Alligator mississippiensis: one gene and its partners. The protein of the gene in region 1 purifies or fractionates together with the protein of each later gene. This does not show direct contact. Links are inferred from orthologs where the notes say so. Each region holds a gene or a part of one and is shown in the gene's direction. Other genes may lie near its edges. The genes, in order: SP1, RB1, SMAD3 and STAT3.

Region 1 (7,457 bases):
CATACATGGCGCCCGCCCCGGCAGCTCTGGGACTACTGCCTGCTCCAGCCAGTCTGGGACCCCCATGAGCAGCATAGGTCCCAGGCAGGTGGGGGCAGGTGCTGGATCCGGTATGCTAGGCGAGGGGGTGGGGAGGAGAGCTATGGGCCTGATCCAACCCCATGCCACTCCTCCAACCCCCTGTGGCACCTCCGGCATAGGGCAGAGGGAGCCTGTCCCGGTGGAAGCACTGGCAGGCGGCAGCCAGCAGGGGATAGGACTCCTGGATTGTATTCCCAGCTCTGGGATGGGGGGTGCCATCTCATTTATGGGGTGGGGACACTGAATACTCGAACTCCCGGGTTTTGTTCCCAGTTCTACCATGGGAGGGTCTAATATTTATTGGTGGCGTGGGGGAAGCAGACATCAGGACTCCTGGGTTCTCTTCCTGGCTCTGTCCCTGCCTTGTTTAAAGCAACCTTTGCCCCCTCCTCACTCCTCTCCTCGGGATCTGGCTTGTTGCCTCTGGCTCTGATTCTCTCTAGCAGAGCATTGGGGGGTGGGGGGGGCTGGAGCAGGGGCAGGGAGGGAGCCTGTGGGGGGGCCTAGAAGGGAGGAAGGGTTAGCTGAGGGCGAGGGCTCCACACCCATAGGCTGCAGAAGCAGATAAGGCTGCAGGAAGGCTGGGGCTCCCCCCCTCCCTGCCTGGCTTGGCTGGCCAGGGCCCAGCAGCTGCCAGCAGCCAGCTCACCCCAGCCAGGGCCCTCTTTGAACAGCTCCTGGCTCATTCACAGGCTGCAGGGCTCTGCCATCGACCAGCAGCAGGGCAGGCTGCAGATCAGCTTGGAGGGAGGGTGGGCTAGTGGTTAGTGCCTGGGATTCAGGACTCCCGGGTTCACCTCTCAGCGCTGGGAAGGGCCGCTGGATCAGTGGCGGGGGTCGCGGGCATAGACATGACCCCCTGGCACCCACCCTCCTGCACAGACATGGACCAGTCAGTGATGGGGACAGGGTGGCCTGGATCCTACTGTGGGGGGAGACTGAGAGTGAGGACTCCTGTGTTTTCTCAGCTCCAGGGGAGGCGAGGTAGGGAGCTGCTGACCCTCTCTGTGCCTCAGTTTCCCTTCTGTTGCAGAGGAGGAGGAGGAGGGCCCTGCTGAGGTCAACCCAGAGTAGCAAAGCCCGGTGAATGGCACCAGTGCTGGCTCCTGCCTATCAAAGAGCCCAGCTGGCCCATCCTCCAGCCCAGCCCAGCCCAGGGGCCGGCCCAGGAAGGAGGGGATGGACTGGCTCCACATGGCTTTGTTGTCTGCCTTTGTGGCAACCCATTGCGCTGGGATTTAAAGGGACAGGCTGGATTTTCTAAGCCTGGGGAGGCAGGTGGCTCCCTCCCAGGGGTGGGGGAGGGAACCTGCCAGTCTCTGCCCCTGCGCTGCATTTGCTAATGGGGATGATGCTGCAGATCAGCTATAAAAATAGAACCCCCTCCCCGCCAGGCTTGACAGCCACAGTGCTGTGCAGAAGGGGTCAGCGGCATTGCCCCCCTTCTCAGACAGGTAAACTGAGGCAAGGACTTGTCCGAGATCACCTGGGAATAGGATCCAGGCCACCCTGTCCCCATCACTGACTGGTCCATATCTGTGTAGGAGGGTGGGTGTTGGTCATGTCTATGGCACAGACCTTTGCAGGCAGAGCTGGTCAGTCAGGGAGGGCACGAGGCATGATCAGGAGGGCAAAAGAGGAGTGAGGTGCCACGTCAGTGATGGGCCAGGACTTCCCCCTCCTCACTGTTAGCTATGGTGCCTGCAGCAGGCAAGACCCAGGTGACTTTCCCGTTCCACAGATGGGGGAAACTGAGGCGCAGACGTGCCATGAGCTCCCCAAGCCATGCCACGAGGCTGGGAAGAGGCTGCTGCCTCGTGACTTCCCCTCCTACCCGGTTGACTGCTGCCCTCCTTTTCTCGGCACTAATTATCTATCATGCTAATAACAGAGGATGTTATGGAAGGCAGTCAGGCCGCCCAGGACACAGCTGGTTTGAAGGATGTTATCCAGAACGATGCTGGATTTGCTGTCCAGCTAGTCAGCCTCATGGTGGTCGGCTCCAAAAGTCAAGGACTTTGGAGGAGTTCCAGAGTAGGACTTCCAGATGCTCCAGCTGTGTCCCTGGTGCCGCGGGCCATCAGTGTTGGCTGGGGGTGGTTTGGGGCTGGGGATGCTGTCAACACCCTGAGCTCTTATTTGGAAAGCAGTGGCAGTCAGGCAGGCAGCATCTCTTTGCGGCGGTGGGAAAGAGCGTGGTTGAAATGTTTCTTCCCTTCCCCAAAGCAGAATCCGTGCCGCACCCACCAGCCCAGGGTGGAGAGCGGCTCAGATGCCAGATTTGAACCAACACTCCCTCTGAAATGCGGAGGCTCTGGAGGGGGAGGCACGTGCTGTGCTGCTGAACTCAAGACATGCGAGAGGGACTTTTTAGGAGGAGACGTGGGAGGGCGAGAGTCTGGGGCAGGCTACGCAAGCGCATCCAGTACACACGCAGGGGGCTAAACAAGCTGACCTGCGAGCTCCCATCCAGGCCTGACTCCGCTCTTGAACAAGCCTTGTGTCCTCCTGTTAAGCATGGGAGGAGCTTCCTGGAAAAGCCAGGATGGCTCCCCCATCCTTCTCCTAATCCCTCCCTCTGCCCAGGTGCTCCCAAACCTGGAGCAGAAGGCAGCTGGCAGGCTGAAACTGCAGTTCCCGTAACTCCCCCTTCGGCCCAGCTGCTCCTGGCAGCCACCTGATGTCTCTGATCTCACATGTTGATTGCAGACTTTTCCGGGCAAAGAGCATGTGGTTTTGCTTTGGGTCTGTGCAAGTATCTAGCCCTAGAGGGGCCTTCTCCTCCACGGGGGAGGGGGCTCTTTGATACGGCAGCCCTCTCAATAACAACACTCTTGGAGCGTTTTGCTCGGAGGGAATCCTGCTTGACAAACCCACGGCGGTTGTTTTCACAATGAAAGCTCTCCAAACCTGCCAGCCAGGACGCAGTGGGGAACGAGGAGAAAAAAATGAAGCGGGTCTGTCGGAGGCAAAGGGCGGTTGTGTTGGGTGACGGCACAATTTTCCAGCTGCTGCGAGAGAAAAGAAAGGGCAACTGGGCGTTGCTCGTAAGGACGCCCGGGACCGAGGGGGATAGATCCGAGTGCAGTTCTGACCCCTGCCCTTTCGATCTCCAGCAGTCTCCAAAATCAACAGCATGGGGCGGCGGGGGGGTGGGGGGTGGATTTTACTTTCCATCCCCGCCAGGATCGTTCTGCTCCCGGCTCCGCCGCAACGAGACGTGTCGGGTCCTCACAAAACCCCGGCTCCGAACGCCTCCAAAAGTCCAGCCCCGCATGTGTTTTGCACCCACCCATTGCAATAATCATCAGGGTGCCGCACGCCAGCGGTGCGGGCTGACCCGTTCCTAGGGCCAGACGCTGGCGTGAGCGAACCGAAAGGGGCCCCGAAAATGGTCGTTTAAACATTATGATGATCTCTAGCGATAGTTTAGATTTAGATTTATTTTCCAAGGCTTCAGCTATCCGGCAGGAGGCCTCGTCCAGGGTCTCCGCAGGTTTCAGGGAGCAGGGCCTGGCCCGAGGGAGGCCACGTGGCGACAGGCCCCGCTGGGCGACACGTGGTGGCAGGGCGGTGCGCGCGTGCGGTGCTTGGGCGCACGAGGGGGTCGCAGGCACCTCCTCAAGGGCGTGGGCGGGGACTGAGCTAAAATGGCGCCGCTCCGCCACATTCCCCACCGCCTCTCCTCCCAGCGTGTAATCCACCGCCTAGGCCTCCCGCCTCCTCGCGCGTCCCATTGGCCGGTTTGAGGGGGCTCGCCTCTCCCATTGGTCGGGGATCCGCAGCCTCACCAGTCGCCTGGCTTCTGATTGGTCGTTGTGCACGCCGAGCTCCAATCCGACCTGCCTTACGTCAACGGGCGTGGGCCTGCTTGACAACTGATTGGGGAGGCTGGACGTCGATCTGATTTTCGTCCCGCCCCTCCTCGCGAGGCGCTGTCTTAGGAGCCCGCCTAAACTGCGATTCGTCGTTCTGCCTGTCAATCACTGCCTCCTTCCACGCTTCCCCCAGCCTCGCCCTTACGGGGTCTCCCTGGGAGCCCTCGTGCCTGCCGATTGGCCGCCCATCACGTCACTCACCCTTGGGCCTCACCCCCTCATCCCACCCCCGCCGGGGGAGCTGCGCGGGCTTCCTATTGGCCGCCGCCTCCGTCACTCCCTCCTTCCCCCCTCCCTCATTGGGCGGAGCCGTTCAAAGGGGCGTATCTCAGGGCCGGGGATTCGGGCGGGCTTCTCCCCCTCCCTCCTAGGCTCCGCCCGCTTCCTCATTCGAGGGCCGGCTTGCCACTCGCCGCGCGTCCCGCCCCCGCTACCGCTCCGCGGCTCCTGATTGGGCACGGCCGGGCTGCGGGGCGTGGCCCGGGGCCGGGGCCGCGTCGCGCCGCTCCCTCCCTCGCCAGCCCTTTGGCGGTCACCGGCGGGGTTAGGCTGCCTCGTCACCGCGCCGGCCTCCGCCCCTCCCCCGGCAGCGACTTGGACTCGCCCCCCCGCGGCCACCATGAGCGGTACGGACCGGACCACCCCGGCCCGGGGGAGGGGGCCCAGCCCTGCCCCGCCCCGCCCCGCCCCGGCCCGGCCCGGCCGCCCGCGCCGAGGGGAGGGCCCCGGGGGAGGGGGCTGCGGGCGGGGGAGGGCCCGGGGGAGGGGCCGGCGGGCGGCCTCGTGGAGCGGGGCGCTGCGGGGAGGCCCGGGACCCCCGGCAGGGGGGGAAATATGGGGGAAGGCCCGGGATCCTTGCGGGGGGGCGGGAAACGTCATGGGGAAAGTCCCGGGGATCCCTGAGGGGAGGGGGCTGCGGTCCTTGATGCGGGGGAGGGCAAATATTACGGGGGAAGGGACTGGAGGCTCTGACAGAGGGGTGGGGGGGCTGAGGAGGGGGCCAGATGTCGTAGGGGAAGGGTCTGGGGTCTCTGTAACGGGGCTGGGGGCTCTGACAGCGGGGTGGGCGCGGGCTGAGGGTCATGAGGAGGGGTGCAAATATGGGGGAAGACCCTGGGATCCCTGAGGGGAGGGGAGGGGGCTGCGGTTCCTGATGGGGGGGCAAATATCATGGGGGAAGGGGCTGGGGGCTCTGACAGGGGGGTGGGGGGCGCTGAGGAGGGGCCAAATATCATGGGGGAAGGGGCTGGGGTCCTTGTAAGGGGGCTGGGGCTGAGGGTCATGAGGAGGACGGATATGGGGGGGGCTGAGGGCTCTGACAGGGCGGTGAGGGGGGAGCTGAGGGCCATGATTTGGGGGGGGGTGCAAGTGTCATGAGGAAGGCTTGGGATCCCTGAAGGGAGAGGATGGGGGAGCAGATGTCATGGGGGTATCCCTGAGGGGGGGGGCCATGAGAGAGAAGGCAAATATGGGGGAAGGGCCTGGGATCCCTGTAATGGGGGGGGTGCTGGGGGCTCTGAGGTGGGGGGAGGCAAAGGCCCTAGGATCCCTGGGTTGGGGGAGGGCAGCTCTAAGGGCTCTTCTCTCCCACTTGCCCTGGGAGCTGGGGGGAGGCAGGGAGGGGTTGACCCCCACCCAGATCTGAGGGCAGGGCCGAGGGAGGTGCCAGGGAAGAGGGGGAGGAGGGTGAAGTCTCCTGGGCAAGGTCCCAAGGGAACAGGCTGGAATTGCTGCTGGGCAAAGGGATTTCCTGTGGGGTGGGAGTGAAGGAGGCCTGAGGCGGGTGGTGGAGTAGGGCTGGGTGGGGAGGCAGGGACTGACAGGAGGGTTGGGGAGTGGAGCTCGGTCCTCCCTCTGGCCTCTGTGCCACCCTCCAGCCTCAGCTCCCTTTTCCCACAGTCTCTCCATTGTCCCAGCGCCCCCCCCCCCTTTATCTTCCCATTTCCCTTCTTGTGGCCCTGAAGTACCCAAAAATGGAAGGAGTTGGCCCTTGGCAGGTCCTACCGTGTTGTCCACCCACTCTGCGTTCCCACCCTTCCCTCTTGCTGCTCTTCCTTCTCCTTTATGTCTGCTTTCCCCTCCTTGGACTTGTTGATGGGTCAGCCAGCAGGTGCTGGGCGATGTGCTGTGCTCAGTGTCCCCCCTTGAAGCAGTCATTCATTAACCTTTGATCTGCACTCCCACCCACCCTGTTTTCACTTGTCCCCCAGAATCTGTTGGAGCACACATAGTGACCCTTTCTAATAATGGGGGTGGGGAGTATACAAGTTTCTTTGTGGGTTCGCCCCCACATTCCCAATATGTACCAAAGATACATCTCCTTTCCCCCACTGTGTCACTCTGTTCAGCCTCTCTCATCATTCTCTTTTTGGTGAACATTTTCTTGCTTTGCTTATCACTTGACCTCCTTTCTCCCCCCTGCTCTGCAGACCAAGAGAGCCCCGAAGAAGTGGCTGTGGTGAAGTCTGAGAAAATAGAAGGAGGTGGTGACAGCAGCAGCAACAGCATCAGTGAAGGCAATGGGGAGGGTCAGGTGAGCAGCGCATGGGTATGTGTTGGGGAGTGGACAGCTGTCCAAATGGGGCTAGCTCCATGTTTTGCTCTTGTTTAGGGGCCCTGTTGAAGTACTAATATGCCCTGTGAACCCACAGAAATGTTTGATTTGAGTCCTGGGACTTCTTATGGTAGCATCATGACCAGTACCTCTCTGACGGCCAAGCTTAGGAATCTCATTGAGAGAGAGGAGGTTTAAGTTTGGGGCTGCCGGTTGCTTCCTTGACCTCCCTTCTCTAACACACACTAGAGCTACTGTGTGTAAGCCTGTATGTACAGTCTTAAATAAATCCCTGAACAAGCTCTCCACTGCACACACTTCTCACCCCAGGGAGAGGAAAGAAGAATATAAATGCCCAACAGACATTGCCTAAAGCAGTTCTGGACAGCATTCTGGTGCCTCCAGTATGAACACAGCCTACAAAGAGCAGTGGCTGCCTCGCCAGGGTCATATCCGGCACCCTTGGTCTTCCAGAAATACTTAGCACAGCTGCTGCTTTAAACACATCTTTATAATCGAGGACGCACTCAGATGGGTGTCTAGAAGCAGCAGCACTTCCTCTTAGGACATATCAGTTCATAGAGGGGAAACCCCCTTGCTTTGGGCTGAGCTGCAGAGATAGTTTTAAAGCCACACTTTATTTTCAGAAACCCCTAAGCCCTGTCAGGCCCATGTCTGCTTGGGGTGCTTTCCGGCTGTGGGTGGGTGTTTGTTACTGAGGAGTGTTTATCTTGTGGGCGGCAGCTCCTCCCTGTTTGCTCTCATGCGCACTGCCCACTAGGCGAGTTCTGGCGAATTAACTCCTCCTTTCTCTGCTTGTCAGGAATCCCAGCCTTCTCCCTTGGCTCTGCTGGCAGCCACATGCAGTAGGATTGAGTCTCCCAATGAGAACTCAAACAGCTCCCAGAGCCAGCAAGGCGGCTCGGGCGAGCTGGACCTCACAG
Region 2 (7,799 bases), on another chromosome or scaffold:
AGGTACCTCACTCCTATCTCTTGTATTTCTGAATGAAAATGGCTGTGATGGCTGTGCTTTGTGTTCAACATAATGCTACTGATGTGTTAAGAAGACTCAAAGCCTGCATATCAGAATGGTTTGCTCAAGGAACTTGGGTGCCACTCCCTCTAGTTTATAGATTTCATTGAAGCTTTGGTTGGAGCTAGATGGTGAGTTGCTCAGACTGGGGCAGTTCGGGCAGGTACAAAAAGCAGAACTGCAGACACTTAGGGAACATTCTGGCCAAAGAGGGCTTAGCAAATTTAAGGAGCTGCTGAGCTGAGTTTTTTGGTTTTGTTTTTTGGGGGGTTTTTTTGGAATCACATTTTGGACTTCAGTTCCTAAAACAGGGCAGAGGCAGACTTTAACCACTGAAGTTTGCCTTTGAATCTGACCCTTAATACCTGTCTAATTCTAAACAAAATACTGTTCCCATGGAGTTCAACAGATAACTCTTAGGAACTCTGTGATAAGATAAAAAGCTTGCTCCCTAGGCAGTGCTATAGAAAGGGGTACAAGGAGGACCCAGACTTTTTGCCTGTCACATAAATGAGCTAAGGTGGTACTATAAAACACTACAGCAGCTGCCTAGGGAGGCTTTGCTGGGAGAAAGAAAGTGTGTGTGTTTTTATTTGTTCAACTTGTTGACAGCTGTAAAGATCCCTAATGTCTGGAACAAAATTTTCTGTGATGTTTTGCTCATTTCAAATTCTTTTGCATTCCTAAAGTCATTCCTGAAAATGGGCTCCAGAATGAGCTGCAGTTTAGGATTTTAACTTGCTATCCTAAATCCTTTTAACTGCATATGATATATACTAGTGATTCTCAACCAGGGTGCTGAGGCATCTTGAGGAGTTTTGACATCATTTTAAGTGTGCTGCAGAGTGCCATGCAATGTTACCACTGTTAATTGTGCAAACATGGTTCACAAGATAAACCCAGAAATTTCAAATAGGATTCCATAATGTTTAAAACATTCTGACCAGCTGTGGTCTTTCTGAGTTCTTGGCAACAGGAGAATAGATCTAGTATTTGTCCATAGTCAAAAATTGAGAGAAAACTAGGAGCTAGCATTTTCTGAGGGGTGCCTCCAGTGGGGTGCCTCCAGTGGGGTGCCATCAAGAGGTGCCTTGAATCTAAAAAGGTTGAGAACTATTGATATGTGCACTTCTAGACTTTTAACTATGGACAGCTCTTCTAATTTGAGTAGAAAAGATTTCCTAAAAACAGAAGTAGAAAGAAAGTGCTACAGCTTCACTGTCACAGTAATATGAAATGATTAAATAATTATTTACCCTATAACTGAAGGACTGTTTTTCATCCAAAATAGTTCGTTCTGTACTTGATTTTCCTCTTTACAATATTGTGTATTAACAACATGTGGCTGGCTGTGGTACTTATGATTGTTAGCATTCCACATAAAATGCAAACCCAGAAGGTATTTAATCCAGTCCATGTGCATCTCCAAGCCTAGCTGTGGAGTGTCTCGCTGCTATGATTCTTGTTGTTCTAACACTGTCTTGATGTATTTGATGATTGCCAGTTCTCTGTGAAGTGATTCTTTGCAAGAGACATATATAAAAGCTGCATAGAATGCTAAAAGCTGCATGGCAGGAACCCCAAATATTTTAACTTAGCTTTGCTTATTGCTTTATTAAAACTTATCAGCTTATTATGTTTTTATTACTTTTCTTTTAAGCATTTTAAATTGCACAAGCATCTTAAAAAAATCACCCCTAAACATAAAATAATTTAATTAATTTCCATTTCTCTTTAAAAATCAATTAAACTACCTTAAATTATTGGTTACAAAACATACAAATTCACAAATTCACAAAACATCTTACTACTACAACACAAAAACAAAATCAACTGTGTACTGTAACTATTTTACACCAAGGTTAAAAAACTCTAAAAGTATCTAAACAAGCTAAACAAATAATAATACACCATAGGTAAACTATTTTCAAGGAATAATCACCATCATAAATAGTGGTCCTAAATGTTATGTTACATTCTATTATCATCTTCTTTATACTAACTAAAATAGTGCTGATTGTAATACGTTGTATATGTTGTTAAATAAAACAAATGTATTAAATTAAAATCACATACTTTAATTGCTTTACAATATATAGCCTTGCAAAAATTATAAAGTGATCCATTCAAAACAAAATGTTTTAAAGGATCCAAGAAAGGAATGTTATACAAATAGCATAAATACCAGCTTGATGTTAGGTAAATAACATGGAAATAGACTTTTGCGTATTGCTTTTAATCTTATGTATTTTCTTGAGGTTTTAATTTCCTTAAGAAACTCTGTTTTGTATTGCTCTGTAGCTTGACATAAGTGGTTGACCTCTTACTCTTTGTATGCTGTATGTGTAAGAATATGTTTGTGGAATAGGAAAACATCAGCTAGCGACTGGCTGAAGAATTCAGACTAATAAACGACCAAACAAGATGAATCTGCCCCAGAACAGTGAGAGAACAATGGCAATCAACCTTCAAGAAAGAACACAGTGATAACCTAGCTAAAGCCCAGAGGACTGAAGGAATTGACAAAGCTATAAAAATGGGGCGAGATATATTGATTTTGGGTATTATTCTGCATGTCAGCCTGAAGCTTCGGTTTGTCTGATGAGATGTACTGGAAAAAGCATGACTCCTGATTGGATTAACTTGGCTGGCCACTAAGTTGATCTGAGCACCGATAAGACTGATAATATATACCAGCACAGAACAGAAATTGGGTATGAATGTGGGGTGTGTATGTGTGTATTAAGCACTTAATCAATAAACATGGTTCTTTGCCTTATCGCCCTCATAAGGCATCGCTGGTGATTTGAACAGTTGGCAATTTATGTAACACCTGCACTCCAGTCTCTGCCTCTTTCCCTCCCCCCACCCCCATATGCTGCTTGGGCTGCTCCCTCCTGGATGACAGCACATGGAAGCACCAGTCCTTGCCTGGCCAAGCTGCAGCTTTGGCGCTGCTCATTGGCCAGGAAGGGGAAGGAGTTTCCATTGGCTCTGTGCCCAGGAGAGACCCCTCTAGTCCTAGCCAGAGCCTAGCTGCACTTGAGAGCAATGGGGAAGGGAAGGCAACTGCAGAGGACAAGTGGAGGAGGCAGGAGGCTGCTGTGCAGTGTTGCCAGGCCTTAAATATGAAATTATCATATTGGAAGCTCAAATTATTGTATTTTCTGAAAAATTATTGTATACTGAAAGAAGTATGCAAATACATCTTCTTCTTATTTACTTTATATTGCTCAATGTAACTCTCCAGTGAGCGAGTGAGTGAGTGAGAACTGGAAGGCTTAAAATTATCATACCAATATATTATCGTACACCTGGCAATGCTGTTGCTGCTATGGGTCTGACTCTGTCCCCAACCTAGGCTCAGGGCCAGGGTCAGAGCTGCAGCCCTGCTACACTTCTAAAGGAATATAAGAGAAGGGGCTTTCCCCTCATGCTGGGGGCATGGGGGAGGGGAAGCAGGGGAACCTAGTCTCATTTTCTAGCAACTACAGGTTTCCCTCCTTGTATGCAGGTTGTGTATGTGCGAATTTGCTCTTATGCAATGACCCTTTTAGACCAAAAATTTGTTATATGTGAGGTAAATTCACTCTTACGTGATCGGTGTGGTGGAAGCCTGCAGTCAGCTGCTTTGTGCGTTGCATTAAGGGACTGATGTGGACCAAAATACAGTTTCCCGTGTGGATCTGCATGCCTTGCTCACTGCCTCCAACAAGTGTTTCTGTAGGTGCCATCCCCATTATGGTAACATTCACCCCTACCCTGTGCTTGCATGTACTGCCTGCTGTTGGTGAGTACGAAAATTGACTAGTAAAAGTGGTAGAAATGAGTTGGGGGATCAGTACAGTCAAGGTCTTGGAATGTATTCCTATTTGTTACATTGTAAAGTGGGTTCCCTTTATGCAAATGAAAATTTGAGTTATGAGTCGTTTTACAGGAGGACATACAAAAAACTAGAACTCCTTGTTCCAGAATGATGCCATTTTCCAGTTGGTCTAATAAAAGGTAAGAAAATTGTCCTTTTTTGCAAGCTTTTGGGATCAAAGTCCCTTCGTCAGGCTCTGGGAAAAGTGTAGATGGTACAAGATGGTAAAAACTCCCCATGAGTAGGAAATAAACTTCATTTTTGCACAGATGGAGCTGAAGATGGAAGGCTGACCCTCGGGGTCCATGAGAGTGCCTTGGTGAGCTGTGTTGAGTAGCATTTTGATGCCTTGAGCAGGTAGAATTCCTTCCCTGGAGAGGCCAGCTGGCAGGATGGGAGGTTTTCCAGGAGCGTATGTACAGCATAAGACGATGGGAACCTGTACAGTATATTCATTTCTGCTTTAATTCCAGACTGCCCAAACCAGCCCAGAGCCCCGAGCCTGCTACCAGGTTCATTTTTGCCTGGAGAAACACCCAGCGACGCGATGCCCAGCACCCGCCCTCCCTAATCCCTGCGCCCGCCCCTGGATGACACGAGCAGCCCCGCCCCTGCCGGCGAGGGAATGACTAAGCTAGAGCCCGTCACCGGGACAGCTCTCTATTGGCCAGCATTGGCGAGCGCTCGGCCGAGCTCATTGGCTGCGCCGCTCGTGCGAAGCATGACGTGATCAGCACCCGCTGCTTCCGGAATCTTGGCCACTTCCCCTCAGCCCCGCCCATTTGTAGACTCCCCGGGCTCCGCGAGCCGGAAGTGACTATGAGTGTGGGTGGGGCTGGCTGACGTGCTTTCCCGCGGTTTCCCGGCTCGGCCGCGCAGTGTCCTCCGCGGCTCTTTAAACGGCGGCACCGGCGGCGCCGCTCGACATGGCGCCCAGGCCCCCGCGCAGGGGTGCTGCCGCCGCCGTTAGGGGGCAACGCGCCAGCCCGGATCGCGGCGCGGCCCCCGCCGAGCCCCCGCCCGCCGCCCCCAGGTGAGCCCCGCCCGCCCAGCGCGGCCGGGGGAGGGGACAGCATCCCCTCTGCTGCGGCGGGTCTGCCCCGGGGCGGCACGGGGAGAAGCGGAGCGGGGGGGCCGCCCGCCGCGGTGTCTCTGGGCCGCTGCTTGGAGGGCGGAGGAAACTCTGCAGGGTGCGAGAGTGCGGGGTCTCCCCAGGCCGCCCCAGGTCTTGGGGGAGACTTGTAGCTTTGTAGAGATTTGTAAAATAATCCCCCCCACCCCTCCCGCGCCACGGGACTTGAATAGGAATCTGTATGTTAAGCCAGGGAGACATGGGGCTGGAAGGGAGCTCCAGCTCCCTGCCCCGAGGTGGCCTTGTCCCTGTCCGGGCTCTCCTTAGTGCTGCCCTCCACCGTGATGGCATACAGACCAAACACTCTCTCATGCCATGGGGTAAGCCCTGCAGCCAATGTCCTGCTGCTGTGGGGATGCGCTCGGGGTACCCACGACCCTGCCACTCTGGAAGCCAGAAACCCGCACAGTCCATGTCAGTCTGATCATGGGCTAAAACGCCTTCCTATGCCCAAATCTGGCAGTTGGTGTGACCCTGAGCCCTTGGAGGGGCAAGACCCTCTAGCCAGGAACCTCTGACTTGATTCCTAGCAGGAGCCTTGGCACATCCCAGTGAAAGTCCCCAGCCCTGGCTGCAGCCAACACTCAATGCCTCTGTGGCAGGTTTAAAAACACCAACACAGTGGTAGTGGGAGCAACTAGCAAAGCCCAGAAATATGGGAAGTACCATTCAGCCCCGGGGTGGTGGGGAACGACGGACACAGGACTTGTTGAGCTTTTTGCAACAGAATAATTGCTCTAATATTTTTCTGCACCCAAAAAGCCCCCAAGTGAAACTGGAGAGCTGGCATTTCCTGAGGTGGGGTGTGTGGCTAAAAAAACTCTCCTTGAGAACCACTGATCTAGCCTGGCCTAGCTTGGGAATGCATGACCTTGCGTAGGCAAAAACCTGCTCTTTTCTGCAAGTCCATTCATAGCATCTGACAAAAGATTTCTTTTTTCCCCTTGTCCCTTTTCCTTCTATATAAAATAATTTATTTCTGGCAGCCCATTTACTGCCTCAAACAAAGTGGGTTGTTGCTTGTGGCCCCTACTACACATTACATATATTAAACAGTTAACTGGTGAATCTTATAATGCATGTAGGCTGGCCATACATGCAACATAATTCTCATACAGTTAACTGGTTAAGCATACAGTAAATTAAGACCAGCCACATGTGCAAAGGAATTATCACTGTAAAAAAGGACTGTTGAGCTATAAACGAGCCAATCAGCTATAAAGTTAGTACTTGAAAATGTGTAACAATTGTATAGCTGGTTTCTGTCCAGCTTTAATTTGAAGGGGCAGCAGGACCCTATGAAAGCTCATGTCTCACTGAATTAGTCTCTAAGGTGTCACCTTGGCCTAGCTTCTGCCTGACTTAACGTGGCAGATCACCTCTTGAGTCTGCCCTATGTCATGTGAGCTGTAGGATTTTCCTGAATTCTTGTTTGAGCAAAATATTTCTGAAACGCTAGTTTTCATTTTAAAATGGCTAGTAATAAAAAATCTACCATGTTCTTTGGTAAGTTATTCAGTGGTTAATTAACCTCAGTGTAAAAAAATTGGGCCTTATTTCTAATCTAGATCTGTACCATCCAACTCCCCTTAACTGGAACTTGTTTTACATTTTCTTTGCTAGACTGATTGCCAAAGATACATGTAGCTCATGATCAATTCACACCTTAACCCTGTTTCTGAGTTGATTGATTTTATTTTTTTTGCTGCAGAGAGAATTTTCCTTGTTCAGGCTTTTTTCTAAATCCTTTCCATCTTGCATCCTTCAGTCCAGAATCTCTGATGTTAAATGATTGACAGGTTTGAGCCTTGCAGACAGTTTTGCAGAATAAACAGGTTATTCACATTTCTGCATGTGTGTGGCAATGTTCCTAACTTTTTGTTTTGTTTTGGTAAGATGTTCTGTGAAATTAGCTGTAGATGTGACAAACTATTGTCTCGATCCGCACATCTAATTTTTAATACTTAGTAAGCTTGTCAGAGAAGTAATCCCTTATCTGGTGGCACATACTGGCCTAATACTATTTTTTTCTCTTCTCTTGCTAGGGTTGAGTTTGGAGAAGCAGATTTTGTTGCACTTTGTGACATTTTAAAAGTTTCGGATGTCATAAGAACAAGTGCGTGGAAGACATATGAAAAAGTGTCATCTGTGGTTGGATCTCTAGTGAGTACTCGGTATAGCTAATGCTCATGATAATATTGTAGTAGTGGTACCTATTCTTTGATTCCAAGTATTATATTAATGTCTTTGCTTGACTTGACATATTTTTACAGCCATTCTGGGAAGCAAATGATTCAGAATTAAGTCTGAGAACTCAAATGTTGCCACATCACTTTTCTAATGAAAATTTTTACCCAAGTCAAAATGTACAAATGCTGTTGTATTCATGACTGTATATAGTAAAATGCATAGTCCCCCTTTATTTCTATATAGAAAAACTGCTTCTATATATATAAAAAAAATAGTGCTGGTTTTAAATGCTGTGCTGGCTGTCCAACTGTCCTGACTACTGTTTATTTTACATAATTTTATGGTACTGAGTGTATGTGTGCAACACTGTGTCTACACTGCAGTGAAAGGTATGACAAGCATTTGTAGGCATACCTGAGATTAATTTTAAAATAGCTGTCTTAGGCATTGATAGTGGTATAGCAATGACAGCACAAAGATCAGTACAGGATACACACCCGTGTCCTCAACACAGCATTTATTCATGCTTTGAGTGGGGCTTGCAATCTGTGC
Region 3 (7,042 bases), on another chromosome or scaffold:
GAGCACATCAAGGGCTCAGTGAGCAACTGTTCACCAGGGCACCCGAGGGGAAAACCTGGAGGAATGGCCACAAACTCCTGGAAGATCGATTCAGGCTCAACATTAGGAAAAACTTCTTCACAGTTAGTGTCCAGACTGGAATAAGCTCCCTCCAGAGGTTGGTGCAATCACCTACCCTGGACGTCTTCAAGGGGAGACTGTACGGTCCCCTTGCTGGGGTCACCTGACTGCAGTTATCTTTCCTGCTTGGTGCATGGGGCTGGACCCGATGATCTTCCGAGGTCCCTTCTGGCCTTACAATCTATGAAGCTACCCAAAGTACCTTGTTTACGTATATAGCTATACTTCAGAAATTAGACTTACTAATTCAATAGTTGGGTACAGAAGTGGGGGTGGGGTATGAGATGTTTAACACTCCCTGATTGTGTCACAACCCCAAGTACACATTAGAGCAGTGTAAAGGCAATGTCTATGGCTCTGCAAAGGACCACTGCCAGTTAGGGATAGTCAGGGTACTTCAGCCTGCCAGTTCTGACATACCCCTATGGAGAGAGCTGGCTCTACGCTTGCTTTGGACTCTCCCGCTCCCTTTTTTACCATGAGCAATACAAAGAGAATAGTGTGGAGCAGAGAGTCTGTCCTTTGGTCTTGCAAGCAATTAAAAGCATGCCCAGCACTAGTGTATCTCTGTGTATGTTCACAGGCTCTTTAGAAGGAATTTGTTTTCACCTTGTGTTAACGATTAATTCTGTATTGTCTCAACTGAAAGCCCAGTTTTCTTGTTTTAGAAGGTAAAGTTTAAACTTATTAATTTAATGAACGTGCCGCGTAAACTAGTTTTTTACTAGATCTGGCAATATATTCATGTAATTAAAAGTATGAGTAATGCACATTATCCATAAAAGTATTTTTGGTTTCTTAAGTGGGCTCCATAACTGTACATATCAGTAGGAACAAAATCTCAGTGGATGAGATTGAGTCCCAGATGGTCCCAGACTCAACATGCAGAGGTCACATGCGTAAGGATGGTCACATAGGTAAGGATACTAAAGATGAGGTGTATTTTAAAAGATGAAGGCAGTAGTTATATTGCTATAAAAATTTATGCTTATTGCTTATTTAGCCTGAAGGTAGCCACGAAGACATCAGACTTTTTATAAACCAGAAAAGGGATCCAGACCATGAAAAATTAGGATGGTTCCATCCTTTTCCTGTCTGTTAATATTTCCATTGTGTGAGTATCCAAAACTCTCCGAAATAAAGACAGACTGTCTGGGGGTTCAGAAAGGCATGTTTTCACAGGACAGCTCCTTTGACAGGTAAACCAAGCACTCCCAGAGGTGGTTCTATAAAACTTAATGTCCCTAATCTTAAAAATGAATGCTGCATCTTGTTACCAAATTTGTTCCCCTTTTGAGCTGTACTGATCTCCATGCTGATGTAATCTGGGATGTGGCTCGCTGAGTTCAACGCACCTACTAGGGTAAATTGGACAGAATTAAATCCAGGGTGTCTCGGCACAAGAGAAGAAGTTAAATGTGAGCTAGAATTGCTGGACTTCATTTGCTGCTTTGCCACTGACTGTTAATTTGGGAAAAGCACCTAACAGCCCCATGTTTAAATTGACCCATTTGTTCCTGTGAAATAATAATCATAATATCTCTACCTCATGTAAACGCAGCGAAGCTTGGCCCGTGAGCGTTGGTTGAACATTTTGAGAGCCTTGTTTGAAACGTACTAGATATCTAAGTCCAAAGTACAAACTATCAGTTCAGGGTTGAGACTTCAGTGTTACTTTTCACTTCTCTTTCTGAGTTGCTGCCCCATTCCAGCACAGAGTAGAAACAGCCTCTGCAGAATCTACCTTTTGGTTTAAAATCCTGAGATTTAAAAAAAATAATAATAACCCACCAGGCTTCTTTATTTGTATCTTCTGGGTTTTGAGCATTTAGGTTACATTTGGATCGGTATTAAAGTTCCTCTCCAAACTTGTTAAGGAAAGAAACGTTTTAAACGAAAGCTGAGATTCTCGCCTAAATCATTTGATTTCACGTGCTTTGGCTTTTAAGAAAAAATGCCGAACATTGCAAGCATTAGCAGTAGTGACGGTTCTCTCTCATTTGGGGTGAACAGTTGCGGTGACCTAACTGTAGGCTGAACAGCCAGAGGAAATAAATGTTTGCCTGATTTTCAGAGGCATTGAACAACCACTGCTAGAAATGTCATCAGTGCGATCTGCAGATACGTAGCCTCTCTCTTCTCAAAGCATCTCTATGTGGGCAGTCAAAAAATGGGTCTCTCAAAATTAGGGCTGCTTTCTAGGGCCTGGAAACCCTGGCTGAGTGGAGAATTGCAGACCCTGGAATCTGGGGCTCTCAGTAGCCCACCTAGGACTTGTGGAGCAGCCAGGAAAACATACACAGCTCTTGTTTGGGGTTTTTTAGGGTTAAGATACGCTCTTATCTGGAGAGCTTTCTCTCTGCAGGTCCAGGCCCCGGCAGTTTCCAAGTCTCCACCAGGGAAGGATGAATCCTGCCTTATTTGCACATCAGAAAGCAACTCCCAAAGACACCCTCGTGCACCCAGAGGAACAGATGTCCACTTTCAGCTTCCTCTGTGCAAAAAATGAAGTTTATTTTCTACCTACGGGGACTTTTTACCCTCTTTAATTCTCCCTGAGCTTGAGGAAGGGTGTATGCCCAAACACTTGCAGAAAAAGATCATTGTTTTTGCGATGTCTTAGTTGGTCTGATAAAAGGTGGTGTCCTCTCTGAATTAGTGCTCAGAGGAACATCCCACCGCTTTACTCCTCTGTGAAATATGAAACACCATCACCAGAAGGAAACATGAATACATCCTGCTCACCAACAAACAACTTCGAGGGAAACAGATCTTTCCAACTTCTCTCTGAGCCTAACCTGCAAATGAAATGAACTTTTCCAGACAGATTTTAACCACTTTCAACACTCCTATACAATGTAAACTGTCATTTCTCCCCAGGAGAACGTTTACAAGCTCATCTCTGATGCCCGATGAAGGGTGCGTGCACCCGAAAGCTTGCAACGAAAGAAATTTTTCTGCAAATGTCTAGTTGGCTTCATAAAAGACACCGCCTCGACCATGAGCCCTGATCTCTGAGCTAAAGGGTCTCGAGTGTGGCACCCCCCGAGTCTCTCTTGTACGCGGCTCGTTTTGCAGCAAGATTTCAGGGCCCGCTTCTTGCTTTTAAAGCTGTTTTCGGCTCAAATCTCCCTGGCGTGGAGGACAGAACCAGTCCCCCCAGGGTGTGTGTGTGTGTGAGGGAAAGGGAAATGGACGTTTGCTCTGGGACTTGGGGAGTGTGCGGAGAGGAGAAGAGGTGCCCACGTCAGTGTGCATGTGTGTGTGAGGGGAGAGGAGAGGGCTGCGCCTGGAGGGGAGGAGAGGTGCCCGTGTGTGTGTGTGTGTGTGTGTGAGGGAAGGGGAAATGGATGTTTGCTCCTGGCCTGGAGCAGTGTGCGGAGAGGAGAAGAGGTGCCCATTTCTCTGTGCGTTTATGTGAGGGGAGGAGAGGTGCCCGTGTGTGTGTGTGTGTGTGTGTGTGTGTGTGTGTGTGTGTGTGTGTGAAGGGGAAATGGATGTATGTGAGGGGAGGAGAGGTGCCCGTGTGTGTGTGTGTATGTGTGTGTGTGTGTGTGAAGGGGAAATGGATGTATGTGAGGGGAGCAGAGGTGCCCGTGTGTGTGTGTGTGTGAAGGGGAAATGGATGTATGTGAGGGGAGGAGAGGTGCCCGTGTGTGTGTGTGTGTGTGAGGGAAGGGGAAATGGATGTTTGCTCCTGGCGCGGGGCAGGGTGCGGAGGGGTGTGTGTGTGTGCGTGTGGAGGGCAGCCCCGTGTGCGCGGGCGGAGGCTGAGGGGCTGCCCCGGCGCGGGGAGGCGGAGGCGGCGGCGGTTGGTGGCGGCCCCTCTCCTCCCCTCCCCTCCCCTGCCCTGCCCTGCCCGCCTCCTTCCCGGGCGGGGCGGCCGCGGGCCATTTGCAGGAGCGGCGGCGGCGGCGGGCGGGCGAGCTGAGGCGAAGTTGTCGGCGGCGGCGGTGGTGGCGGCGGCGGCGGCGGGGCCGGCAGCATGTCGTCCATCCTGCCCTTCACCCCCCCCATCGTGAAGCGGCTGCTGGGCTGGAAGAAGGGCGAGCAGAACGGGCAGGAGGAGAAGTGGTGCGAGAAGGCGGTGAAGAGCCTGGTGAAGAAGCTGAAGAAGACGGGGCAGCTGGACGAGCTGGAGAAGGCCATCACCACGCAGAGCATCAACACCAAGTGCATCACCATCCCCAGGTACGGCCCGGCCCGGCCCGGCCCGGCGGGGTGCGGTGCGGGGCGCACTTAGTGCGGGATCCCGCTTTGTTCCCCTCCCCCCAGCCGGCATCGCCCTGCCCCGGCACCGCGGCTGCACGGCCCCGCACGGCCCGGCCCCGCACGGCCCGGCCCGCTTACGTTCGGCTGCACAACTTTTGCGCCCTGTGGGGCTGCGTTACTTTGCACACTCACCTGGCTCCATTACATCTGGCTGTGTATACTTGCACACTGTGGCGTTACGTTACTTTCGCACACTACATGGCTATAGTACATGAGGTGATATTACTTGTGCACGCTAATGTGGCTATATGACATTTGGCTATATTTGCACACTGTGGCTGTATTACTTTGCACGCTAATGTGGCTACATCGCATGAGGTTGTATTTTGCACACTAATGTGGCTATATTACATGCGGTTATATCACTTTTGCACGCTAATGTGGCTATATGACATTAGATTATATCACTTTTGCACGCTAATGTGGCTATATTACATGAGGTTATATCACTTTTACACACTACATGGCCATATTACATGAGGTTATATTTTGCACACTGAGGTTATATCACTTTTGCACACTAATGTGACTTACATGAGGTTATATCACTTTGCACACTACATGGCTATATATTACATTAGGTCATATTACTTTTGCACACTAACGTGGCTATGTTACATTAGCTTATATTTTGCACACTAACGTGGCTATATTACATGCAGTTATATCACTTTTGCACGCTAATGTGACTATATGACATGAGGTTATATTTTGCACACTAATGTGGCTATATTACATGAGGTTATATCTTTTTGCACGCTACATGGCTATATTACATGAGGTTATATAACTTTTACGCACTACATGGCTATGTTACATGAGGTTATATTTTGCACACTAACGTGGCTATATTACATGAGGTTATATCACTTGCACACTAATGTGACTATTACATTAGGTTATATTTTGCACACTAATGTGGCTATATTACATTGGGTTATATCTTTTTGCACACTACATGGCTATATTACATGAGGTTATATTACTTGGCACATTTACATGGTTATAGGCTCATTATTTTGTTCCAAAAAAGGACGCCGTTCATGCAGCTGAGTGGGATTAGTAGGTAGGTGAGGGATCGCACGGATCAAATAACTGACTTCATGCAGATTATTTATGCAATCTTGTAGGGTTTTTTTGGCACGGTTGTGCCCACAAGGTCCGTTATAACGTGTGGGAGAGCACAAGCATTTCTCAGAATTTGAGAAGTGGCCATAAGGAGGAACATTTTATAACTGAAGTTTCTGGGGTTTTTTTATTTCTCTAAGCTCACTTACATGACTGTCATTCTTAGTACTGTTGATTATTTTGAGGAATAATACAACACTGCTTTTTTTTTTTTTTTTTACCCAAAGGCTAAAGTTCATGCAAAATATTTTAATGCTGTATAATTATATGCTTCTGTGTGTATATATGCATGCTTTTTTTGTCTGTCATACACAAATGTGTGCTGTCGTGGTTGTCAGAATGATTTAATATGCAGTGGCTAGTACACACAAAGCAGCATCTGTTGCATGAACCAGTGAAACAAATAGCTTTAAAATGTTGGGAAAGTTTGAAACTCTTGATTTTTTTTTTTCATTTATTTATTTTTTTTTTAAAAGGCTGCTTCATCAACCATGAATTTTAATGATCATTTAATAGCTTCTCATGACTCTTTTTTTCCAGTGAACAATAAATACTAAATTAGATTTTGGTCACTAAATCTAGATTGATCTCATTGGAGTTACTCTGGATTTTCAGGGTTGAATCTGAGATTAGTATCTGCACAACTCGTGCCTGACATGCCTACCCTCTAGCCTGTATCTGAAACTCTTGATAAGCAGTGAAATCCACTCTATTCAAAGCTCTTTGTGGAAGTTTTTTTTTACTGTATTGCAAATTTGGGCGGGGGGGGAAGGGATTTTGAAAAGTCCAACCACTGATGTGACTTGTGTTTTTGTATTTTGGATTTCAAAGACTCACTGCTGCTCTCCTGTGAAGAGTCAGAGAATGAAATGACCTAAAATGTGCTTCGGTAGGAACACGGGTGTTTTGAGAGGGGTAGAAAGCTGTTTTCAATAAGTTGTAATTCATAGGAAGCATTTGGTGTGTGAGAGAATGCATTTAAAAAAAAAAGCAAGTAACATCAAAAAAGCAAATGTCACAAACTCTGAACACTGCCAGGACACTCTAGCTAATGTTTACCGTGTAAAGTGAATGGCTGTTTCTTTATTTTTTTTTTTCTGTCCTGGAAATCTGTCTGCTAGACAGAGTCCCCCAGCAATTAAAATCTTTCATTTGTTCATGACATGGACCCCAACCTCAGTCCTTAATCCTTGATATCAACTGGAATTTTGCCTGATTACACCTGACACCATGGGTCCCTTCTAGCAGTAGTTATTTGTCACCTGACACTAGCTTCAAGTATTGAAAATAGTATGCACTTTTACTGTTATTTAATCCTTCTATTGCAATCAAACCTAATGCCCATACCCAGGCTAGTCTGGTGTAGGTTAGCTGCAAACATGGTAAAAGACAGTCCCTGCCCTGTAAAGATGAGTCTTATAGATGAAGTGATTTGCTCAAGGTTATACAGCAGGTTAGTGTCAGAGCCATAACTGTAAGCCAAGGTCTCCCAATCCCTCGTGGGGTTGGTGTCTTACCCCCT
Region 4 (7,851 bases), on another chromosome or scaffold:
GCTCTTGCAAGTAGAACATACCTAGCTTTCCCAGTACTAGCCAAATTACACAGAAGTCTCTAACCTACCTGTAACAGTGGGCAGTCTCACCTTTTAAGTAGGGCAGCCAGCCCTGGGATAGGAGCCCAGCTGTAAAGGATAAACTGGGAATTAAAAGCCCAAGCAGGGAGAGGGCAAGCAGCTCAAGTTGGGGGAAGGAACAGCTGATGGGTAGATAACAGACTGAAACCCAGAATAGTGCACTTCTGGGAAGTGCTAGTTACAGGGCCCTCTCTTGCTGCCTGGAGAAAGGTTGACAGTTTGATTTACTTATTTATTTGTTTGTTGGTCTAAGGATTAATGCATCTGTGATGAGGAATGACTGAGGGGAGCAAAGCCAGGCAGCAGGGCCACAGGCACTCAAGCCTGTTTGAGGATTATTGTTTGGACTGGCTGAGACACTCCTAAGGGGGCAATGCCTCCTGCACAGCAAGAGGTGCAATGCCTTGCTTCCACTACTGCAGAGTCATACCCCGTGTGAATACCTCCTCCCTAGCCTCCATGGCACTCAATGAGTCGCCCACATCTCATGGCCTTTGCTGAGCAGCCCTGTACGTCACAGGCAGGCCAGCAATCCCTGAGACCACTAAAAGCAACAGCCAGGGCAGGAGAGTCATCTCTGCTTTGGGGGCACCAGGCTGCCAGTTACGCTGATATAGAGACATAGTTAGACCTATTAGTCTGAAGTTAAGTAGAGGGTGGGGTATGTTTATACTTTATAGACTAACCAGCATAGATATGTGTGTATGTATACATACAGGGGCAGATCCAGAAGGGTGCACTTGTACCTGCTTTGATTTCTGGTCCACCCAAAGCTTAAAACCAAGTGCCTGGCAATGGCAGCAGCATTTCTAGTCAGGTAGTGCTGAGGGAGTTACTTGACTGCATATCTTATCATCATGTACCTGATCCCCTCTAACCTCTACACCCCACAGGTATTAATGACCCTCTTTTCTTTTTAGTGGTCTTGATGTTCCACCAACCAAGGTAGCCTGTGTCTTGCAATTGTGCTGTCTGTTAGCTGTTCCTGGTCAGGAAACCCCTATTTCACAAAACCTGCAGACTGCTTGTTTTTAACTCCATTCCAATGAAGTTATATATTTTTTTTGCTTCAAACTTCAACTGAATAGTACAGCCTAGGCCCCTAGCATAGTAGTAAAGCTTCTTGGGTGTTTATACATGTGCTCTGGGAGTGGGGGGAGGTGTTTTAATTAGAGCTGCTCCAAGAGCCACTCTAATTAACATGCCCTGAACATCTCGTATATCAGCATCCCGATGCTGAAAAATGTTGGCAGGGGCACTTCAAAGCGTGTCGAACAAGCTTTAGTTACAATGCCCCCCCCACCGTTTTTCAGCATGCGGATGCTAATACACAAGATGCTGGAGTCTGCTGGAGCATAGTAATTGCCATGCTCCAGCAGACTCAATTAATCGAGTCTGCTCTGATGCACTGTAATTACAATACATAGGAGCAGCCTGCACATGTATAGGTGCCCCTAGTTTCTTTTTAACTAGAGAAAAATGTATTGTTTTTATATGAGGTGATGGACCTCACCGCACCCTCTTCTTCAAAATCCTAGGTCTGCCCCAATATGCATGTGTGTGTATGTATATGCATGTGTGGACACGTCTATGTATGTATATACAATATATATGTGTATGTAAGTATGTATGTATGTGTATATGCATCTATGTGTATGTGTGTATATGCCGTTGTGCATGTGTTTGTGTGACCTGTTTGTATATGTATGTATGTGCATGTGAACAGGTGTGTATACATATGTGTAGGTATGTGTGCATATGTGTGCGTACGTGTGTATGCATCTATATATGTTCATACATATGTATATGCATGCATTTAAGTATGTGCATGTCTATATGTGTGTGTCTATGCATGCATGTACGGCTACGTGTATGTGTGCATGTATACATGTGTGTGCATGTGTATATGAGAAGATGCAAACACTATGTCTATGGTTCTGTGTCCTTTCCTGAAACCTGTACATGACTTTCATTGACCTGACAAAAGCATTTGATACAGTCAATTGGGAAGGCCTTTGGAAGATCATGGCAAAATTTAGATGCCCGGAGAAATTCATTGCAATGGTTTGGCAGTGCCATGATGGCATGCTTGCTCTTGTTGTGGATGCCGGTGAGTCATCTGAGCCAATGGAGTTGAGCAGGGCAGTGTGTTAGCCCCAATCCTCTTCAGTATGATTTTCTCTGCTGTGCTTACAGATGCCGTTCGTGACTGTGATGCTCTGATTGACATCAGATACTGGACTGATAGCAAGATCTTCAATCTAAGGAGACTACAGGTGAAAACAAACTTACAGGAAGTGACTGTGATCTTCTGTTTGCTAATGACTGTTCCATGAATACCAAATCTGAGTCTGACATGCAGTGAAGTATGGACTACTTCTGTCGTCTTAGTGTTGATTGTGAGACCAAATCTCACAAGCTGAAGAGAAGTGATACACCAACCTGCACCAGGAAAGCCATGTGTAGAGTCTACCATCACAATGAATAGCCAAATCCTCCAGGCAGTGGACAAATTCACTTATCTCAGAAGTACACTGTCACATATGCTTCACATCACTGATGAAACAAATGCCAGAATTGCTAAAGCAACCATGGCCTTCAGCGACTACATGTAAATGTGTGGGAGTCCAGAGGCATCGGTCAACAAACAAAACTGAAGATCTACAGAGCCATTATGTTGCCAATCCTGATGTATGCATGCAAAACTTGGATGATGTACAGATGCCATGCTATGAAGCTGAATTACTTTCACATGGGCTGTCTGAGGAAACTGATGAGGATAAGATGGCAAGACAAGGTCCCAGACACTGAGGTTCTTACATGGGCAGCCATTCTAAGCATCCACATTCTGTTGATGAAATTACAGTTGAGATGGGCTAGCTGTGTTGCCAGGATATCAGATGAGCAACTGCCAAAGATCTTTCACAGTGAGCTGAAGGAGGGAAAGAGCTCTCCAGAACAAATGCTTCAAGGACTCCCTCAAGTCATCCTTGAAACATTTCAACATTGACCCAAAATCTTGGGAAGATTTTGCTCATGATCGTTCCACCTGGTGAAGCCTCGTCCATACTGGAGCTACTGTCTATGAGCGGAGAACTGCTGAGGCAGAAAAGTGCAAACAGCGTAAATCTCACAACAGCAGCAAGCAACCCAAAGGGGCATCTCTTGCTCAGTCTGCCATAGACCAGTGTTTCTCAACCTGTGGGTCACAAGAATGTATGAAAGAGTCACAAACAAACCTTAAAAATGGATTAATGAACTTTTTAAAATGGATTCTCCATTAAAGGAGAAAAACATGGGGAAACGGTGGCTTTTCCCCTGCAGGCTGGAGGAGTTCTAGCCTGCAAGGGGCTGTTTGGATCCCACCTCCCCTTTGCCCTACACACTGAAGGGCTGGGGCCTGGGGGTAGTGGGTCAGGAGTGAGGGGCAGTGGGTTGGGACTGGCCATCAATGTTTACAAATGGGCCCTGGTACAAAAAAGTTGAGAACCACTGGCATAGACCGTTCTAAGCACAAATTGGCCTGATCAGCCATTCACGTGTTCACAGAAACCAAACCAACCAGTGATGTCTTGGTCATTTTCAAATTCAAAGGATGAACAGCAACAAGTGTGTATGTGTGAGTATGCATATGTGTATGTACAGACATATGTGTATGTCTACACGTGTGTATACATGTGTACTTAGCTCTCTATTGGCGAAACATGGACTTCTTATGCTAAGGAAAAAAGAAAACAAGTTTCCATCTTTGATGTCTCTGTTGTATCCTGGGCATAACATGGCATGACAAAATCTCCAACTTGGCTGTTCTGGAATGGGGCAAGATGCCCAGTATGTTCATGGACCCGAGGCAAATGCCTCTGTTGGTTAGGGCATGTGAATCGTATGAGCCATTGCGGCACGTGTGTATTACATCCCCCCCGCCCCCGCCCACCCAGGTAGCCTGTCTGCATTTTACCAGCTAGGTTCTTTCTCCCCCACCCCCAACCTGTCTCTCACCTATTGTCCCCCATTCCCACCTATATTTTCACAGACCTGCATTTTGCATATTGGCTCCTGTTCTACCCAGGGGAGCAGACACACACCAGCAGAGCAGACTCGCTCTATGCCTGAAGAAGGGTGCTTGGGCCTGGCAGGTTGCAAAGAACAGTTGGTCTGATAAAAGAGATCACATCTACCCAGAGAAACTTGTCCGCCTATGTGTAAATGTGTGCGCGCGTGCGCAGGTGTATATTTGTGTGCGTGTGCATGTGTACACGTGTGTATATGCATGTGCGTGTGTGGGTCCACACCCCCGTGCAGGTCAACGGGATGGGTGGGACCAGCGCGGCGGGATGAGCCGCAGCATCCCAGGGCGCGGGGTGAGGGGCTCTACGTGCCCCCCGCCCCCGCTTGGCTCGGCTGCTCTGGCCCTTTAAGAGGCGGCAGCAGAAACAGCCCCGGCTGCGCTGACGTCAGAGTGCTGCCCGGAACTCAGCTGAGTTTCCAGCACAGAAGTTCCCGGCAGTCGCCGTTCCGCCCGCCGCGAGCCCTGGCCTCTCCTTTCCACTGGCTCGGCCGCGCGGTGGGAGGTGCGTCCCCCACCCGGAACAGCCGCCAGGGGGCACGCGCCGGCGCCTTCCTGATTAATGAAAGAACCAGGAGGGACTGGAGGCGCTGATTGGCTGGGGAGGCCCGTCCCCCGCGAATCCTGAGCTCACCCGGGAAGCCATTGGCTAGGACGATTGTGACGTTAGGGTCGAGGGGGCGGGGCTATTAGAGTGGCAGGTCTCGCGTCATCCGCGGAGGGATCAGATCCCCGCTTGCCGCAGGGAGCCGGAGCCGCCGTCCCCGGCCCGGCCCGGGAGCCCTTCCCCGCAGGTGAGCCGAGCCGAGCCTGGCCTCCGGGGGGGCAGTGCCCGGGGTGCTGGGGCACGAGTGGGTGCCCCTTCCAGGGGGCTTTGGCAGCCGCTGGGCGTGGGTGCTGGGTGGCATGCAGGGTGGCTTGGAGCATTTCCAGGCTCCCGGCCCAGGGGAGCCAGGCCTGTGGGCCCTGCAGAAAGTGAGGGCTGTGGTTGGCAGATTTAAATGCCCTGGAGCTAGGAAATCTGGTGGTGATGCCTGTGGCAACCGGATCTGGTCCCCTCTCGCACATCCGTCACGTCTTGTATCAGGTCATCTGGGACGCTGGCATGGTGCAGCTGCATTTGTGGTTGGCAGGAATCGGGTGCCGCCACCATTAGGGAGCTCTGTCTGTGCCAGTGCTTGTGCCATCTCTTGTCCCTGGATCTGGGCAGGGGCCCGAGGAGGAAGGTTGCACATGGGGTACAGGCAGATGCACCTGTTGCCATTGCTGGGTGTCAGTGGAGAGCCTTCCTTGTGAATCTTGGCTTCCAGGCCTTTGCGGACTCTATCTTGGTGCTCTTCCTCCTGAGCTGCTCTCAGGCTCCTTGCAGCCTTTCCAGGCTTTGAAATTGCTGGTTGGATTATGACCCTGCTGAGAGTTGTTTATGATGACCCAGCCAGTGTCTGTTTGCACAGCAGTTTCAGTAAAACAGGGTGTTTCATGTCTACAAAACTTCACTGCCAGCACTCCCAAATTGCCAATCCCCTGCACTGTTTGGAGTCCAGTAGCATGGATAGCTGAGGCTGAAGAGAGTTTTTAGAAAACCCTATTCCCAGTAGCATGGATCTTGAAAAGCTTCTTTTTTTTTTTTTTTCTAACAACGGTGTTTATGTTTGTAGTTCAGATAACCTGGCTCAAGAAAAGAGTCATCAGTTTCGTTTTTGTTGTTAGTCAGTTTCCAATTTCTAGCTCTCCCTCAGTAGACAATCCTGTGGCATTAATTAGTACCGCAAGCACTGCGGAGGAGAGAAGCCTCCCATTGTTCTACTGCCTGCAGATGTGCCAGTCCTCTCCGAGAATTGGGCAGAACGTTGCCATTGCTTCTAAAGGGCGTGGGATCAGAAACTTTAAGAGGAGAAATGAATGCCCCCACCTGGCATTTCTTTTGCAAAAGAGATTTGTTTCCTTCTCACACCTAATAAAATTATTATAAGTTTGAGCTTGGCAGGAGTTGTTATTGGGGTGGACTGGTTGCTGCTGACAAAAATGTCTGTAAAGATTAAAACTATAAGGTCTTGTGTGTCCTGCAAATATCATCTCTTCTATGCAAGCAGGAGTATAAAATGGCCTTGTTTAATTCAGTGAACATACTTCTATTGCTGAATGCATTTTTAAAATGTAACACTAAGAGACTTGAGTCTAAAATGCCTTTTCAGAGCAGGAATCTATGGATAAATGTAGGAAAAATTCAAGAAACCAAAACATCAGGATTATTAGTTTATATTGGATCCTGGGATTTAGTTCCCAAGCAGATGTGTGTACTTCTCAGAGTTTTAACCATGAAATGATCCTTATCCCACAAATTTAGAAATGACTGAGGACAAGGATTTCTATTAGAGCACCTAAAGAACACAGAGCATAAGCTGCAGAACCGTTCCTTACAGGCATTGGTCCAATACCAGATCTTAGATTAAAATTGCTGTGATATTGAGTTTACTTGTAATGAAGACTGAAAACCAGAAACTTGTGGTTCTGTGTTTGGTCAAACCAAGGTTGGTGAACTGATTCGTGTTTCTGAGACAGGTGTGAACTCTGGCTTGCATATTTTCCTGTTGCTTGATGCAACTGCTCCAAAGTCTTCCGGTTAGAGAGAGTCTCTTGTGCAACATGGGCTTCATTGCCTGGACCAGACAGTGGTTTTGTAGTAGTTTATATAAAGAGAACTGACTGGTGTTATAAGTAAAACTCAAGGTCTCCGTTTCACATCAGTAGGTAGTAATACAGAGCAGCTGTGCCAGAGGTTACCTAAGTATTTCCCAGGGCCTTTTAGTCACTGTATCTGTATCACATAATCTTCAATGCAACTTGCCCACCACTTTATAGAAGAGTGATATGCCCAGGGTCATAAAAAGGATCCGTGACAAAGTAAGGAATTGAACCGTAGCCTTCCAAGCTTCAGGCTAGTGCTTTCTACATTGGTTCTGGTACTGCTGAGCTGAGCACCATTATGTCTGAGAATTGCATAAAGACATGTGGCTAACATCTGTCATGTATGCATTCTTTCACCTCCCAAGGGGGAGAAGTGTGTGGGATGTTCTAGCTTTGCACTTGTATATATGTGTACATGTATGCATGTTACAGCGCATAGGACCAAAAAAGGGCACTTGAAACAGACAGTAGAAGGTCCTGGGGGAGTTTGCCATGTAGTCTCTCACTAGCAACCAGAGATCTTCTGAGTGCATGGATGTACTTTTAACCTTTAGTGCCAGAGTGAATGCACCAACCACTGTCTTCATCCTGGAACTGTAGTTGGTCTTTTGACTAGGCTAGCCTGGCCTTGGTCTCTAAGAGCCTTGAAGGTAAGGATTGAGACCCTGAATGTGGTTTGGAATTCTCTGGGAAGCCAATGCCAGGTGCAGAGATCGGGTATGACAGTTTCTGCAGAAGAGAAGGGCTGCAGCCTCTGTACTTGTTGAAGTATCCCAAGCCCTGCAGGACTTTTGCACATGGCTGCAGTTCTGACAAGAGGTGATGAAGGTGTGAATAACTGAGGCCAGGTTCCTGTCTCCTTCTATGGAATGGAGTCTCCCAGCCAGCTGGAGAGGGTAGAAGTTGTTGCTTTTGCATGCTGTTATGGGAGGGAGAGCTCAGGGTTGGTAAGGATCCTGGAAGCATACTTGAGCCAGAGATGGAGGTGACCAATGGGCTGCATATCTTTTACTGAA

Evidence for each region.
Region 2: the proteins of SP1 (region 1) and RB1 purify together in Homo sapiens (affinity purification with western blotting; 3 studies listed by BioGRID). This does not show direct contact. The link is inferred for Alligator mississippiensis from reciprocal best matches to the Homo sapiens genes SP1 and RB1.
Region 3: the proteins of SP1 (region 1) and SMAD3 purify together in Homo sapiens (affinity purification with western blotting; 7 studies listed by BioGRID, with this or other methods). This does not show direct contact. The link is inferred for Alligator mississippiensis from reciprocal best matches to the Homo sapiens genes SP1 and SMAD3.
Region 4: the proteins of SP1 (region 1) and STAT3 purify together in Homo sapiens (affinity purification with western blotting; 4 studies listed by BioGRID and IntAct, with this or other methods). This does not show direct contact. The link is inferred for Alligator mississippiensis from reciprocal best matches to the Homo sapiens genes SP1 and STAT3.

The regions. Positions count from the first base shown.
Region 1 is NC_081838.1:8,792,631-8,800,087, reverse strand, and holds the start of SP1 (transcription factor Sp1), read left to right. Parts: upstream 1-4,442; 5' UTR 4,443-4,578; coding exon 4,579-4,585; intron 4,586-6,388; coding exon 6,389-6,492; intron 6,493-7,336; coding exon 7,337-7,457. UniProt on the Homo sapiens protein: Transcription factor that can activate or repress transcription in response to physiological and pathological stimuli.
Region 2 is NC_081824.1:413,410,828-413,418,626, forward strand, and holds the start of RB1 (retinoblastoma-associated protein), read left to right. Parts: upstream 1-4,788; 5' UTR 4,789-4,851; coding exon 4,852-4,958; intron 4,959-7,102; coding exon 7,103-7,220; intron 7,221-7,799. UniProt on the Homo sapiens protein: Tumor suppressor that is a key regulator of the G1/S transition of the cell cycle. The hypophosphorylated form binds transcription regulators of the E2F family, preventing transcription of E2F-responsive genes.
Region 3 is NC_081834.1:4,232,723-4,239,764, reverse strand, and holds the start of SMAD3 (mothers against decapentaplegic homolog 3), read left to right. Parts: upstream 1-4,038; 5' UTR 4,039-4,105; coding exon 4,106-4,311; intron 4,312-7,042. UniProt on the Homo sapiens protein: Receptor-regulated SMAD (R-SMAD) that is an intracellular signal transducer and transcriptional modulator activated by TGF-beta (transforming growth factor) and activin type 1 receptor kinases.
Region 4 is NC_081827.1:162,181,356-162,189,206, forward strand, and holds the start of STAT3 (signal transducer and activator of transcription 3), read left to right. Parts: upstream 1-4,833; 5' UTR 4,834-4,941; intron 4,942-7,851. UniProt on the Homo sapiens protein: Signal transducer and transcription activator that mediates cellular responses to interleukins, KITLG/SCF, LEP and other growth factors. Once activated, recruits coactivators, such as NCOA1 or MED1, to the promoter region of the target gene.